Saccharomyces cerevisiae S288C: one gene and its partners. The main gene of each other region encodes a partner of the protein of the gene in region 4 in a complex. Each region holds a gene or a part of one and is shown on either strand. Other genes may lie near its edges. The genes, in order: MRPL44, MRP20, MRPL9 and MRPL1.

Region 1 (2,943 bases), on a different chromosome or scaffold from region 4:
TTTCAAAGAGGAGCCTGGAGAGCCTTTATCTAGACCTGCTTTAAAGAAAGAAGAGATACACACAATTGCTTCGGCAGTAGGAAAACAAGGTGCAGAAGAAGAGGGAGAAGAAGGAATGGAAGAAGAAGAAGAGGAGGATCTTGACCTAGGCGCTGCTTTTGAAAGTGAAGAGGAAGGTAGCGGTGCCGAGGGAGACAAGGAGCAACAACAAGAGGAAGTCGGTGATGAGGTGGATCAAGACACAGGCGGAGAAGATGATGACGATGATGACGACGGTGACATTGAAGCTGCTGGTGGGGAAAGTGAATCTGATGACGAAAAAGACGAAAACAGACAGCACACTGAATTACTTGCGGACGAATTGAACGAACTAGAGACCACCCTGGCCCATACCAAGCATAAATTAAGTAAAGCCACGAATCCTCTTTTGAAAAGCAGGTTCATAGATAGCATTAAAAAGCTCGAGAAGGAGGCTGAACTAAAACGTAAGCAGTTACAACAAACCGAAGATTCTGTCCAGAAACAACATCAACATCGCTCTGACGCAGAAACTGCAAATAACGTCGAGGAAGAAGAAGAGGAAGAGGAAGAAGAAGAGGAAGAGGATGAAGTGGACGAAGACGAGGAGGATGACGAAGAAAACGATGAGGACGAGGATAATGTGCATGAACGGGAACACATACAAGAGAACAAGGTGGTGCGCGAACTTGATGAAGCCCCCGCAGAGGAAACACTCGACCAGAACGATCTCGATATGATGATGCTATTTGGTGCAGAGGGTGATGAGTAAGTTCTCTTTATCATCTATATATTACTCTTATACACTATACGACTCTACTCTATGACGTATAGCATTGATATATATTAAGGCACGACACCGATTTTTCTTATCGGAGCGATATAAAAAGCTGAAGAAAGGAGGATAGATGAAACAGCATGGCGCATAGAAAGTGTTCAAGCTCACTAGTAAAGGCGGGAAATAGAACATTGAGAACGTATTTTGATAATGTCCCAAGGTAGAAAAGCTGCAGAAAGATTGGCTAAGAAGACTGTCCTCATTACAGGTGCATCTGCTGGTATTGGTAAGGCGACCGCATTAGAGTACTTGGAGGCATCCAATGGTGATATGAAACTGATCTTGGCTGCTAGAAGATTAGAAAAGCTCGAGGAATTGAAGAAGACCATTGATCAAGAGTTTCCAAACGCAAAAGTTCATGTGGCCCAGCTGGATATCACTCAAGCAGAAAAAATCAAGCCCTTCATTGAAAACTTGCCACAAGAGTTCAAGGATATTGACATTCTGGTGAACAATGCCGGAAAGGCTCTTGGCAGTGACCGTGTGGGCCAGATCGCAACGGAGGATATCCAGGACGTGTTTGACACCAACGTCACGGCTTTAATCAATATCACACAAGCTGTACTGCCCATATTCCAAGCCAAGAATTCAGGAGATATTGTAAATTTGGGTTCAATCGCTGGCAGAGACGCATACCCAACAGGTTCTATCTATTGTGCCTCTAAGTTTGCCGTGGGGGCGTTCACTGATAGTTTGAGAAAGGAGCTCATCAACACTAAAATTAGAGTCATTCTAATTGCACCAGGGCTAGTCGAGACTGAATTTTCACTAGTTAGATACAGAGGTAACGAGGAACAAGCCAAGAATGTTTACAAGGATACTACCCCATTGATGGCTGATGACGTGGCTGATCTGATCGTCTATGCAACTTCCAGAAAACAAAATACTGTAATTGCAGACACTTTAATCTTTCCAACAAACCAAGCGTCACCTCATCATATCTTCCGTGGATAAACCTAGCTAAACTAAGTAAATCTGTATACTTTTTATACATGTAAGACTTTTTAGCTATTTCATTCTTCCCTGAACCGTTTTGCGCGATTCTACGGAATATACCGGCGAAATAAAAGAGATAAACTTATGGATCCTCAAATAGAGGATGAACAGATGTGAAGAAGAAACGAGCTTAATTATATCTTCGCCATGATAACTAAATACTTCAGTAAGGTAATTGTCAGGTTTAATCCCTTTGGCAAGGAAGGTATGTATTTTTTTTCGCTCTGTTATTCGTTCTCCTTACCTTTGGCCATCATGATTTAAAGATTTGGCTAAACTAGGCTGAGGTAGGCTCGAACCGATCTATCACAAATACTAACAGCAAATGATATGGTCATATCATTGATTTCAGCGAAAGTTGCTAGGTTAGTACTTGCTGCCATTCCACCAACGCAACGAAACATGGGCACGCAGATTCAATCGGAAATTATCTCAGATTACAATAAAGTCAAGCCTCTTGTGAAAGTAACCTACAAGGACAAAAAAGAAATGGAAGTCGATCCATCAAACATGAACTTTCAGGAATTAGCCAATCATTTCGACCGTCACTCGAAACAGCTGGATCTCAAACATATGTTGGAAATGCATTGAGAAAATAAAGGCATCTACAAATCTCATTGTAGGCATGCACGTTTCTAATATTCTAACAAAAACAAAGTCAGAGTTCACAAGCAAGCCTGTAAATAATATATATGCAATTACACAAACGTATAGATAGATATACCCAACCAAACTGACTTAAGGTTTAAATAGTATGGCCAATCGAATAGAACCCAAACATTATAGCCATATTAAATTACTCTTTACGCTTGTAAGGAAGACAATGTGGAAACAACATTAAGAGAATGCAGACAATTGACGCAAGTTGTACCTGCTCAGATCCGATAAAACTCGACTATGGACTATCCTGATCCAGACACAATAAGGATTTTAATTACTACAGATAATCATGTGGGTTACAACGAAAATGATCCCATTACTGGCGATGATTCTTGGAAAACTTTCCATGAAGTCATGATGCTGGCCAAAAATAACAACGTAGACATGGTTGTACAGTCCGGTGATCTTTTTCACGTGAATAAGCCTTCCAA
Region 2 (2,956 bases), 590 kb from region 4:
TAGCAGTATTCTTTTCCCTCATCGTCTTACCATCGTGCCATACCTTAACCCCGGCACCGTGCGTTGCAGATCCGCCCCTCGCGGACCCGCTCGAGACTCTCCGCGGAACGAGCATGCGGACGGCTCCGCGCCACTGTCTCCGCAGGCATCCGTGCATGGCATCCCGCGGAAGCGACCCTGAAAATAATAAGTAAAGCAACCAATGTTCTTGCTCTTTGCGCGAACAAAAATAAAAAAAGAACAGAAATACAGGCCACCTTCCAGGGCAGGGGAAGGGGATGCCATCATCATTCTTTTCTTCCGTAAGGCATGTTCTACAGCCACTTCATATATTTTTGCGTTTGTTGCTCGGAAAAAGTAATGTTCTTAATTTTCTTTCTTTTTTTTTTTTTCTGTTTAGAGATTATGTAGTTTGCTCCGTATATACAAGTGTGAGGGGTGCAAGATGCTTATCTGGGTATTTGCGTGTGGGTTAACGAAGGGGTGGAATGGGAAACCTTCTAATGTAGATCTTCTATGTACCTGTTCAGGGCAATTAGTTTATCTGCGCGCTGCAGTTCGGCGGCGTGACGCTCTCGCTTATTGTCTATCTCTCGTTTTAAGAAGCGAGGTATAAAAGGCTGGGCCACCCGTTCGTAAGGCCCCACGACTCCGTCGAATGCTGTGCCGGGTTTGTTGGCGTCTGAGCCCAAGCAGTTAAGTCTTTCTTCACGGTACTTTTCCATGTTGTCAGGCGTGGTGCTGTCCCAGAAGGAGTTTTCGTCCGGACGGGGTTCTTCGGGCCAAATGAAGGGTTCTTCCATCTCGATAGTCATTTTCTTGATCTGCGGTTCTCTAAACCGCGTCGTCTGTAGGTTCATACGGTTAAACTTCCCATGAAGCAGCTGCGTCGTAATGTTCATTGCTCTTAAGCCGTAGATATGATAAAGATAGTCTCTGAGATCCAGTTTGTTGAACGATTTTGGGACGATGAATTTTGCTTGATACGGTGTGTGCTTCGCGTTGGGCCTCAAGAGGATGATCCTGGCCTTGGGAAAGTAGACTTTGTTACCTCCAACTTTGAAATGCTCCTTTCCCTGCTCTATGCCCGCCTTTGTCCACTTATAAATCTTCTCGCTTACGTTTATATCTACTTCGCGATCGCTGCCGCTTTTGTCGAGTATTTTGGAGGAACTCTCCACCACTGAGGCTAGTGATCTTATTGGAACCTGCTCTGGCTTGCAACTTCCTACTGCAAGTGTTTTTTGCAAAGGATACAACATATTCTTCGTTCCAACCGTCAATCGTGGCATATTCTGTGTTGGTGTTGCGTACTTTTTATTTTTATTTTATTTTTTTTTCTGTTGGAGCCTGCTAATCAAAGCACATTATTTGTTAGTAGCGTTACGTTCTCCACAAGAAATGTATGTACATTTCAAGTTCTAATACCATCGTTTTCCCTTTTTCATCGAGAAAATTCGTATAACGCGATTACGTATTAAGTGATCTTCTGTGGGTTTCAACGGCTATTTTGAAAAATACAAGGAAAATAAATGCGGTATTCCTATATCCCAGTGAAAATGCCAATAACGTAGACAAGCTCACTTCGTCGATTTATTCTCTAACATTGGGTCGATCAGGTCTGTCCACCTATCTCTTCTCCCAGAATATCATAGCCTTTCTTTTTCCGTTTCTCCTCCTACACCATTCTCCTTTGCGATTAGACAGTGGGAAAGTCCAAGAATAGATTCACATTTCAACCACTGTATAAATAACTCAATTTCTGAGAATGTTTTTTATTAAAGACCTTTCGCTTAATATTACCCTTCATCCGTCCTTTTTCGGTCCTCGAATGAAGCAATATCTAAAGACAAAACTATTGGAAGAGGTTGAAGGTTCGTGTACGGGTAAATTCGGATATATTCTTTGTGTCCTAGACTATGATAATATAGATATTCAACGTGGGAGAATATTGCCCACAGATGGGTCCGCCGAGTTCAACGTGAAATATAGAGCTGTAGTTTTCAAACCATTTAAAGGGGAAGTAGTGGACGGCACAGTCGTTTCATGTTCTCAGCACGGGTTCGAAGTGCAAGTAGGTCCAATGAAAGTATTTGTGACAAAGCATCTGATGCCTCAAGATTTAACCTTTAATGCGGGTTCAAACCCACCATCATACCAAAGTTCCGAGGATGTCATCACCATAAAAAGTAGAATTAGAGTTAAAATTGAAGGTTGTATCAGTCAAGTGAGTTCTATTCACGCAATCGGTAGTATCAAAGAAGATTATTTGGGTGCTATTTAATCACTTGTTACTCCGCAACGCTTTTCTGAACGCCCGCCTTCGCCTTTCATTATCATTCTCATCCCAAAAGAACTGTGCATGTTATTTGCAATACTTCATATACGCTCTGTATTATTAATAGTATCATTAATTACGTCAATTGAAATTCAAAATATCATCTTTGACAGTAACATCTATCCTCTTAGACAACTAGGGCCATTGCAGTGTCTCGAAACCATTAATATCACTGAAAAGATGAAAAGAAAGGCAAATATATATTGATCACTAATTTTCTAAGCTAAAGAATCTATTCCCCCTCTGTTAAATGGAATTGTGTGAAATAAAATATTATAAAATCAGAACTTTGGGGGGGAAACATAAAAAAATGAGAAAAAGAAAACGAACTAACTAATGTTTAAGTAAAAGAACAAAAAGGTAGACCAATGTAGCGCTCTTACTTTATTAAGAGATTTTCTTGATAACGAAATGTCCTCCTTCTCCAATATCGAAACGAGTATCTTTCCATACACCATCATACATACCCTTTTCGAGAGCCTCCTTGACTACTTTTGATTTTGTCAAAAAGTATTTCTCCTTTTCATCCTCAACCTTCACGACACAATTATGCCAAGGTGTGGGAATATGTAAAAAATCTTCAAATTTGGGTTCATCAAGGTCTTCTAACGAACTAAC
Region 3 (3,172 bases), on a different chromosome or scaffold from region 4:
GCAAGTTTTCTCTCTGCATTAACTAAACAATACAAAGACTTAGTGGTCTTCAAAGGCACTTTGAGGGACTTTTTGGTGCAAATCAAAGAAGTCGGAGGTGATCCAACAGATTATTTGTTTGCTGAAGATAAAGAGAATGCATTAATGGAACAGAATAGACTAGAGAGGGAAAAAGCTGCCAAGATTGGTGGGTTATTAAAACCTTCCGAACTTGATGATTAGAGGCGGTGGCGTATCATTCTTTAAATTTCCAATATTTTTTCCCTTTTATTAACTAGTCTCTAATTTATAACCACGGGGTTTTCATTTCTTTTTCACTTCATATTGTATGTAAATTGGTTCTTCAAAGTTCCAATACTCTAATATAGTACTAAATACTATTTAGCCAACTTCATGGAAAAGTAAAGAATATTATTTGAAGATTCTTAAGTGATTACCCATTTTATTGTTATTATTGATGTATGTACATGATTGTAGTAAAATACTTATACGCCTTATGCTCAAGTTTTTTTGATTGCATCTTGAATTTTAACGAAACTGTTTTTGGGCCCAGCCACAGAGCCTTTAACCCAAATAACATTATTTTCATCGTCGACTTTCAAAACTTTAACATTTTGGATAGTAACATGCTCGTTTCCCATATGACCAGGCATCTTTCTTCCTGGCAGTACCCTACCTGGGTCTTGGTTTTGACCATAAGAACCACCGTGTCTATGCATAATAGATGTACCATGAGATGCTCTCAAACCCTTGAATCCATACCTTTTCATCACACCAGTAAAACCTTTGCCTTTGCTGACTGATCTGACGTCAACATATTGGCCTTCTTTGAAAAAAGAGGGTTTCAATAATGTGCCAGGTGGTATTAATCCCTTTTCATCTTTAACTCGGAATTCGGCCACATGCTCTTTTGGGTTAACAACTTTAGAAGCGAAATGACCAAGCATTTGTCTGCTAACTTTAGACAAATGCCTTGATCCGTACCCTACTTGACACGCGAAGTACCCATTGACCTCCGAAGTTCTATGCATTATTACTTCAACATTATTAACTTCTAATATAGTAGCGGCGCTTCTTTCACCAGTAGATTTATCAAAATAAGGCATCATTCCCTTCTTACGAGTAATTAAACCGCATCTTTTTGGTAGCCATTTTCTCGCATTTGCCAGTTCAGGTGAGTGATTAATCGCTGGAGCCTCGGTTGTTATACTGTTAGCAATACTAGGAGCCACTAGAAAAGGCCGAGTAGAAGAATATCTAACATGAAGTTTTGATATGCTAAATATTGATCCCTGTAGGAACTTCGACATGGCTATATTTGTTCTCTCTTGCTTTCAAAGAGTTGCCCTTTCTCGTCCCAGTTGTCAATTTATCGTCCATATATTTTTCAATAAAGTTCGTTTGACAAGGGATTACCCGAAAACAAATATCTCGCGACTGTAATAGGAGAAATGGCATTAGCATTTCAATTAAGGAAAGAAGAGGATCATCGAGAAACGAATTTATGGTGCTTATTTACTGTTACAACATTTCATGATTTTGAATTTTATTTATACATGTACATTCTCGTACGGTGTTATTTCGTAATTATGGGATGTGCCCAGTTGCTTCCTTAAGTCTTCCGTAGAAGCTTTAAAAGGTAAGATTTCCCCCACACTAGGAGGCTGCAAGATGTCAGTGTCATCCAATAACCCACTAACACGGAAATTTATTGCATTTGACAACGTTGACGGCGGTTGTGATAAAGAAGATGATGTTGTAGTGGATGAGTTACCAGGGAGATATTGGGCCTTTATTAAATTTCTTAAAGATCCTGCAGGCTTATAGCGAGGTTTCATAGAAAGTTCTGATGGGTTGGTCATAACAACACTTTGTCTAAGCTGATATGGAAGGGGCGTACAAAATTGCTTTGTCAAAGATGTTGACGGTATTTTCGTAGGCGAACTGTAAAACATTTCAGGATGATCCATTGGATTCAACGCTGTCCCATTAAGCCTAGCTGTAGGTACATGTTTTAGTGTTTTTGGAGGTTTAGGCCTTCCTTTGAATGACGTCAAGGAATGCGAAGAGGTGGAATAAATGAATTGGGTAGGCGTGGGCAAATCTCCGATGTTCTCATAATTTTGAGGATGTTCTAACGGGAGGGGATAATTATAGTAGTAATTGTCATCATTGCTCTGGTTGCAGTGATCTATAAAATATGTAGAATATTGCTGAGCAGAAGTAAGATTTGACTGACCCGAACCCTCCGAAAGGGCCCGTACGGGAGCCTTTGCAGAGTGAATATGGTCCTTAGCGACCGTGTCAGAATATATTGATGAGGTAATTCTCGTTGAAAGACCATTCGGTGGTGGGAATGTAAGAGATAGAGACGATTCGGGAATCACTTTTTCTCTGGTTGCTACTTCTGAATATACTGACGATGCAATGTTTTTATTCTCTTGTGGTGCCGGCACTTGCAGATAATCAGTTGCATCTTCATATTCCTCATTGGCGCTGGAACTGGAATCAATTTCTTGGACAGTTGTACTTCCGAAGTGACTCTGTTCAATTAATGTAGTATCATTTGGATTGTCTTGAGAGCTCATATTTACACTTTTTCTTGTAGCGATGTTTAATTTAGAGTCACGCCGTATCGAAGAAGTTACAGAGGATCGTATCGTGCTATTACTTTTCTCAAAATAAATGTTATAAATGCTTCTTATTCTGTCAATATTTTCTTCCTCCTCTCTCGAACACTGAGGCTCGAGCCCGCTACGACTCGTATAATTCGATTTAAGTCGATTATCGTTGTTATGGCTGGACTTTTCATTTACATCAGGATTTGACGTACTATCACATCTTTGATCACAGTCTTGCCCAGTATTTGAGTGTTGTGGTGAAACAATCAGCTCAGAATTCTCTAACGATTCGAAAGAAATCTTATTCGAAAGGTCAATGTGCTTGGAGGGGACCGATAACTTGCTGTTATTCTGCGAAGCCAGTGAAGCAATATTATAAGCGGAGGGTGCATGCTCATTGATACGCCTCACATAATCTTTGAAAGATTGTGAGTTTTCGATTGACGGTTGCAAAAAATCGTCATAACCACCATAAATAAACCTCTTTTCTGTGGCATTGCTGTCTGAGTTTGCAGAATTCATAGAAGAATCCATCTTCGGTAAATAGTATA
Region 4 (2,901 bases):
CATCTATATCTTCTTTCTCTGCTCTATCTGTGTTACGCCCACAAACCGGTATGCTCTTAAACAGTTCACCATTGAAGACTCCGTCCTTCACACCGTTGGGATTTGGCTTAATAGGTCAAAGAAGATGGAAATCAAGGGGTAACACCTATCAACCTAGTACATTGAAACGGAAGAGAACTTTTGGTTTCTTGGCTAGGGCCAAGAGCAAACAGGGCTCTAAGATATTGAAAAGGAGGAAGCTCAAAGGTAGGTGGTTTTTGTCTCATTGAAATTTCACATACTATTCAGATAAATTTGAATACTTCTTGTACATAGGTATCTAATGATTATGCAACATACACTTTCACTATTATTCAAAAATAAAAGAGCAGTTACTTTATTCCACTTTAAAAAGACGGTTACTTTGTATGTACATGATTTTATATAAAAAGAAAGAAAATGCACCAGTATATATATATATACAATTAAAAAAGTCCAACAAGACAAAACTGATTCGCTGATTAAGCAAAATCGATTACAATACCGGGGCCATGTGTGCTTGATAATGTGGTTTTACTCAGTATATTTGGTTTCTTAGATTTTTGATTATCAACAGCAGTTTTAAATGCCGCTCTAGCGGATATAATGTTTTGTAAAATTTCTCGATCAGTGAAGTAGCATTTGCCGACTCCAATGCTGATAGAGTTTCCCCTTTGCCTGAAAGGCATAGATCCTAGACTTTCTTGAAGTAAGGAGCTTATATCATCACTCACCGTACCTTTTTTGACAGAGGGTAAAACCCCACGAGGACCAAGTATCCTGGCCACCTGCGATTGTAAAGCTGGAACAATATCAGGAGTTGCAAATGCTTTGTCAAAATCAACGCTAATTTCACCGCTTTTAATTTTGGCAACAAGATCTGCTCCGCCAATCAAATGATTTGGGTATTTCTCACGAAGCTCTTCCAATTTACTTTCGTCGTTGGTAAAGGCAGCAATTTTGATATATCTCAAAGGCTTAGGAAATGTCACGCTACCGGATAAAGGCGCTGTACCTCTTTCACCGACTACCAATGTAGTCAAATTAATTGTCTGTTGCGATTGCGGTCTGCCAACTTCTGCTGCGCGTAAATATCTTAGTGCCTTTGTAACAGGCATGTACAATGGGCTTGCTGTAGCTGGTCTCTTTGCCTCGGCCTTTCGTTGTACCAATCTTTTCAACTCTCTTTTTTTGGCTTGGTCTTTTGTTAGCGAAGGTGCATTGGAGGACATAGCTGCTGGTTTATAGTCATCTGCGTATAGTTTTTTTGCAGTATGAAAAAAGCATCTTCTTGCAGGACCTGTGACACATATTTTCGGGATCGCTACTACGGATAGCATCTTCTTTGATGACTTATCACTGTTTAGTTTTCTTCAAATTCCCTTTATTTCAGGTCGTTTTTCAAAATACTTTGGTTTTTCGAAAGTTTTCTCTTTTCGCTTAAAAAGGAGATTTTGTCGCTAGTCTCATAATGTAAGTTACACTAAAAAATAGAGAATAGTAAAGATGAACTGGATATACAAATATAGTATATTTTTACCGCTGTTGAAAACATTTCGTTCCCTCCCATGATACATTCATATTTTTTGTGGGTTTCAAGACTACCATAATACCTACTTTAGAAAAGCTTCGATTAGGTAAAAAAGTTCTATATGCTTTGATGTCGGGCATTTTTACGCATTTAAACATTTATATGATATAAATCTACTTTCTTTTTTTCTTCTTCAACTTGTTCTCAAAGTCTATCCATTTGCTTGGAATACCTAGCTTGTTAAGGTGATCAATGATCGATTGACCGTGTGGACCTTGAACCTGCACTTCAGCACATTTGAATGTTTGTGATTCACTTATTGTTGTCGATCCGCTACAAATCTTTCTTAAGTCAGCCGCAAGTGATTCTGGGTCGACTTGAAACACTTCAAAATTGCTCACTCTGGTAATAACTTTTCTGCCAATTTTCATTTCAGTAATAATCTTAATATGCGGAAGGGAACCCTTCATTGGCGCCTTGAACAAGAGAGTATCATCGCTTTTGAATATCTGATAGAACTCGGTAAAATTATTGGTGAGTAAGGGATGCAAAATTTCACCTCTAGCAATGATACGTGAAGCATTCAAGACTTTCTTCTTCTTATTGACCATATCGAATAATAGATCGTCCATAATAACTTTTCCTTTATCTTTTGTGTCTGCTAGGTTCTTGACAGAAATATACTGAGAAACCGCGCTTCTAATGTCCTGAGAGGTGTAGTACGTGTGAGAAGCCAAATTAACCTCCTTCAAAAGATCTTTGGCAAGATTAAAGGGTTTATACAGAGTCAGTGAATACATCATTCCAGATGTTTTCTCCTTCGAGGTTGTGCTCTCCCTACTTTCTGTGGCAGACTTGCTACAACCAAGCTTATATGGCACAAAGTTCTTTAACTCATCCTTGTCAGTATTTTTGCCCACAATAGTTAAGTCATCCCCCTTTCCTTTTAATTTCAAGAAGCCTTCTTTCTCGAAGTGTTTCAAAAATTTTGCGCTTTTTTTCCATGAAGTTTTCTTTACATTGACTTCATTGTGATCAATTGGAGGCAAATTACGCATAATGTGGTTTGAGATGAAGTTAGAAGCTGAAATGGGTAATTCCAAACCTTTATCTTGAGTCAAGGTATAATATAATGCTCTTGTAATGAAATAATCTACATCCGACACAGTGAAATGGTCTAGAACTTCAGCAATCTCCTCTACATCAACAGACGCTTCTTTTACATCTTCTTGTTCCTTTTCAACAGCCTTGATTTGCTCCGAGGATTCTATCTGTTTACTACTGATATTGTTATCCTTTGATTGAGTACTGAGAACAAATGGAGGTTCCAATTTCATTTTAAAGACTTTGGA

What was found.
Region 1: MRPL1 (region 4) and MRPL44 share a complex: the UniProt entries of both Saccharomyces cerevisiae proteins name them as parts of the mitochondrial large ribosomal subunit.
Region 2: MRPL1 (region 4) and MRP20 share a complex: the UniProt entries of both Saccharomyces cerevisiae proteins name them as parts of the mitochondrial large ribosomal subunit.
Region 3: MRPL1 (region 4) and MRPL9 share a complex: the UniProt entries of both Saccharomyces cerevisiae proteins name them as parts of the mitochondrial large ribosomal subunit.

The regions. Positions count from the first base shown.
Region 1 is NC_001145.3:720,460-723,402, reverse strand, and holds MRPL44 (mitochondrial 54S ribosomal protein mL53 MRPL44), read left to right. Parts: upstream 1-1,999; coding exon 2,000-2,057; intron 2,058-2,204; coding exon 2,205-2,443; downstream 2,444-2,943. Other genes in the region: TATA-binding protein-associated factor TAF7, read left to right, coding at 1-790; ORA1 (oxidoreductase), read left to right, coding at 1,007-1,810; MRE11 (MRX complex nuclease subunit), read left to right, coding at 2,750-2,943. UniProt on the Saccharomyces cerevisiae protein: Component of the mitochondrial ribosome (mitoribosome), a dedicated translation machinery responsible for the synthesis of mitochondrial genome-encoded proteins, including at least some of the essential transmembrane subunits of the mitochondrial respiratory chain.
Region 2 is NC_001136.10:1,275,982-1,278,937, reverse strand, and holds MRP20 (mitochondrial 54S ribosomal protein uL23m MRP20), read right to left. Parts: upstream 1,293-2,956; coding exon 501-1,292; downstream 1-500. Other genes in the region: DNA-directed RNA polymerase II subunit RPB7, read left to right, coding at 1,769-2,284; DIT1 (Dit1p), read right to left, coding at 2,726-2,956. UniProt on the Saccharomyces cerevisiae protein: Component of the mitochondrial ribosome (mitoribosome), a dedicated translation machinery responsible for the synthesis of mitochondrial genome-encoded proteins, including at least some of the essential transmembrane subunits of the mitochondrial respiratory chain.
Region 3 is NC_001139.9:935,574-938,745, forward strand, and holds MRPL9 (mitochondrial 54S ribosomal protein uL3m MRPL9), read right to left. Parts: upstream 1,311-3,172; coding exon 501-1,310; downstream 1-500. Other genes in the region: exportin CRM1, read left to right, coding at 1-222; TOS2 (Tos2p), read right to left, coding at 1,551-3,172. UniProt on the Saccharomyces cerevisiae protein: Component of the mitochondrial ribosome (mitoribosome), a dedicated translation machinery responsible for the synthesis of mitochondrial genome-encoded proteins, including at least some of the essential transmembrane subunits of the mitochondrial respiratory chain.
Region 4 is NC_001136.10:682,224-685,124, forward strand, and holds MRPL1 (mitochondrial 54S ribosomal protein uL1m MRPL1), read right to left. Parts: upstream 1,359-2,901; coding exon 501-1,358; downstream 1-500. Other genes in the region: YDR114C (uncharacterized protein), read right to left, coding at 1-3; mitochondrial 54S ribosomal protein bL34m MRX14, read left to right, coding at 1-269; TMA64 (Tma64p), read right to left, coding at 1,723-2,901. UniProt on the Saccharomyces cerevisiae protein: Component of the mitochondrial ribosome (mitoribosome), a dedicated translation machinery responsible for the synthesis of mitochondrial genome-encoded proteins, including at least some of the essential transmembrane subunits of the mitochondrial respiratory chain.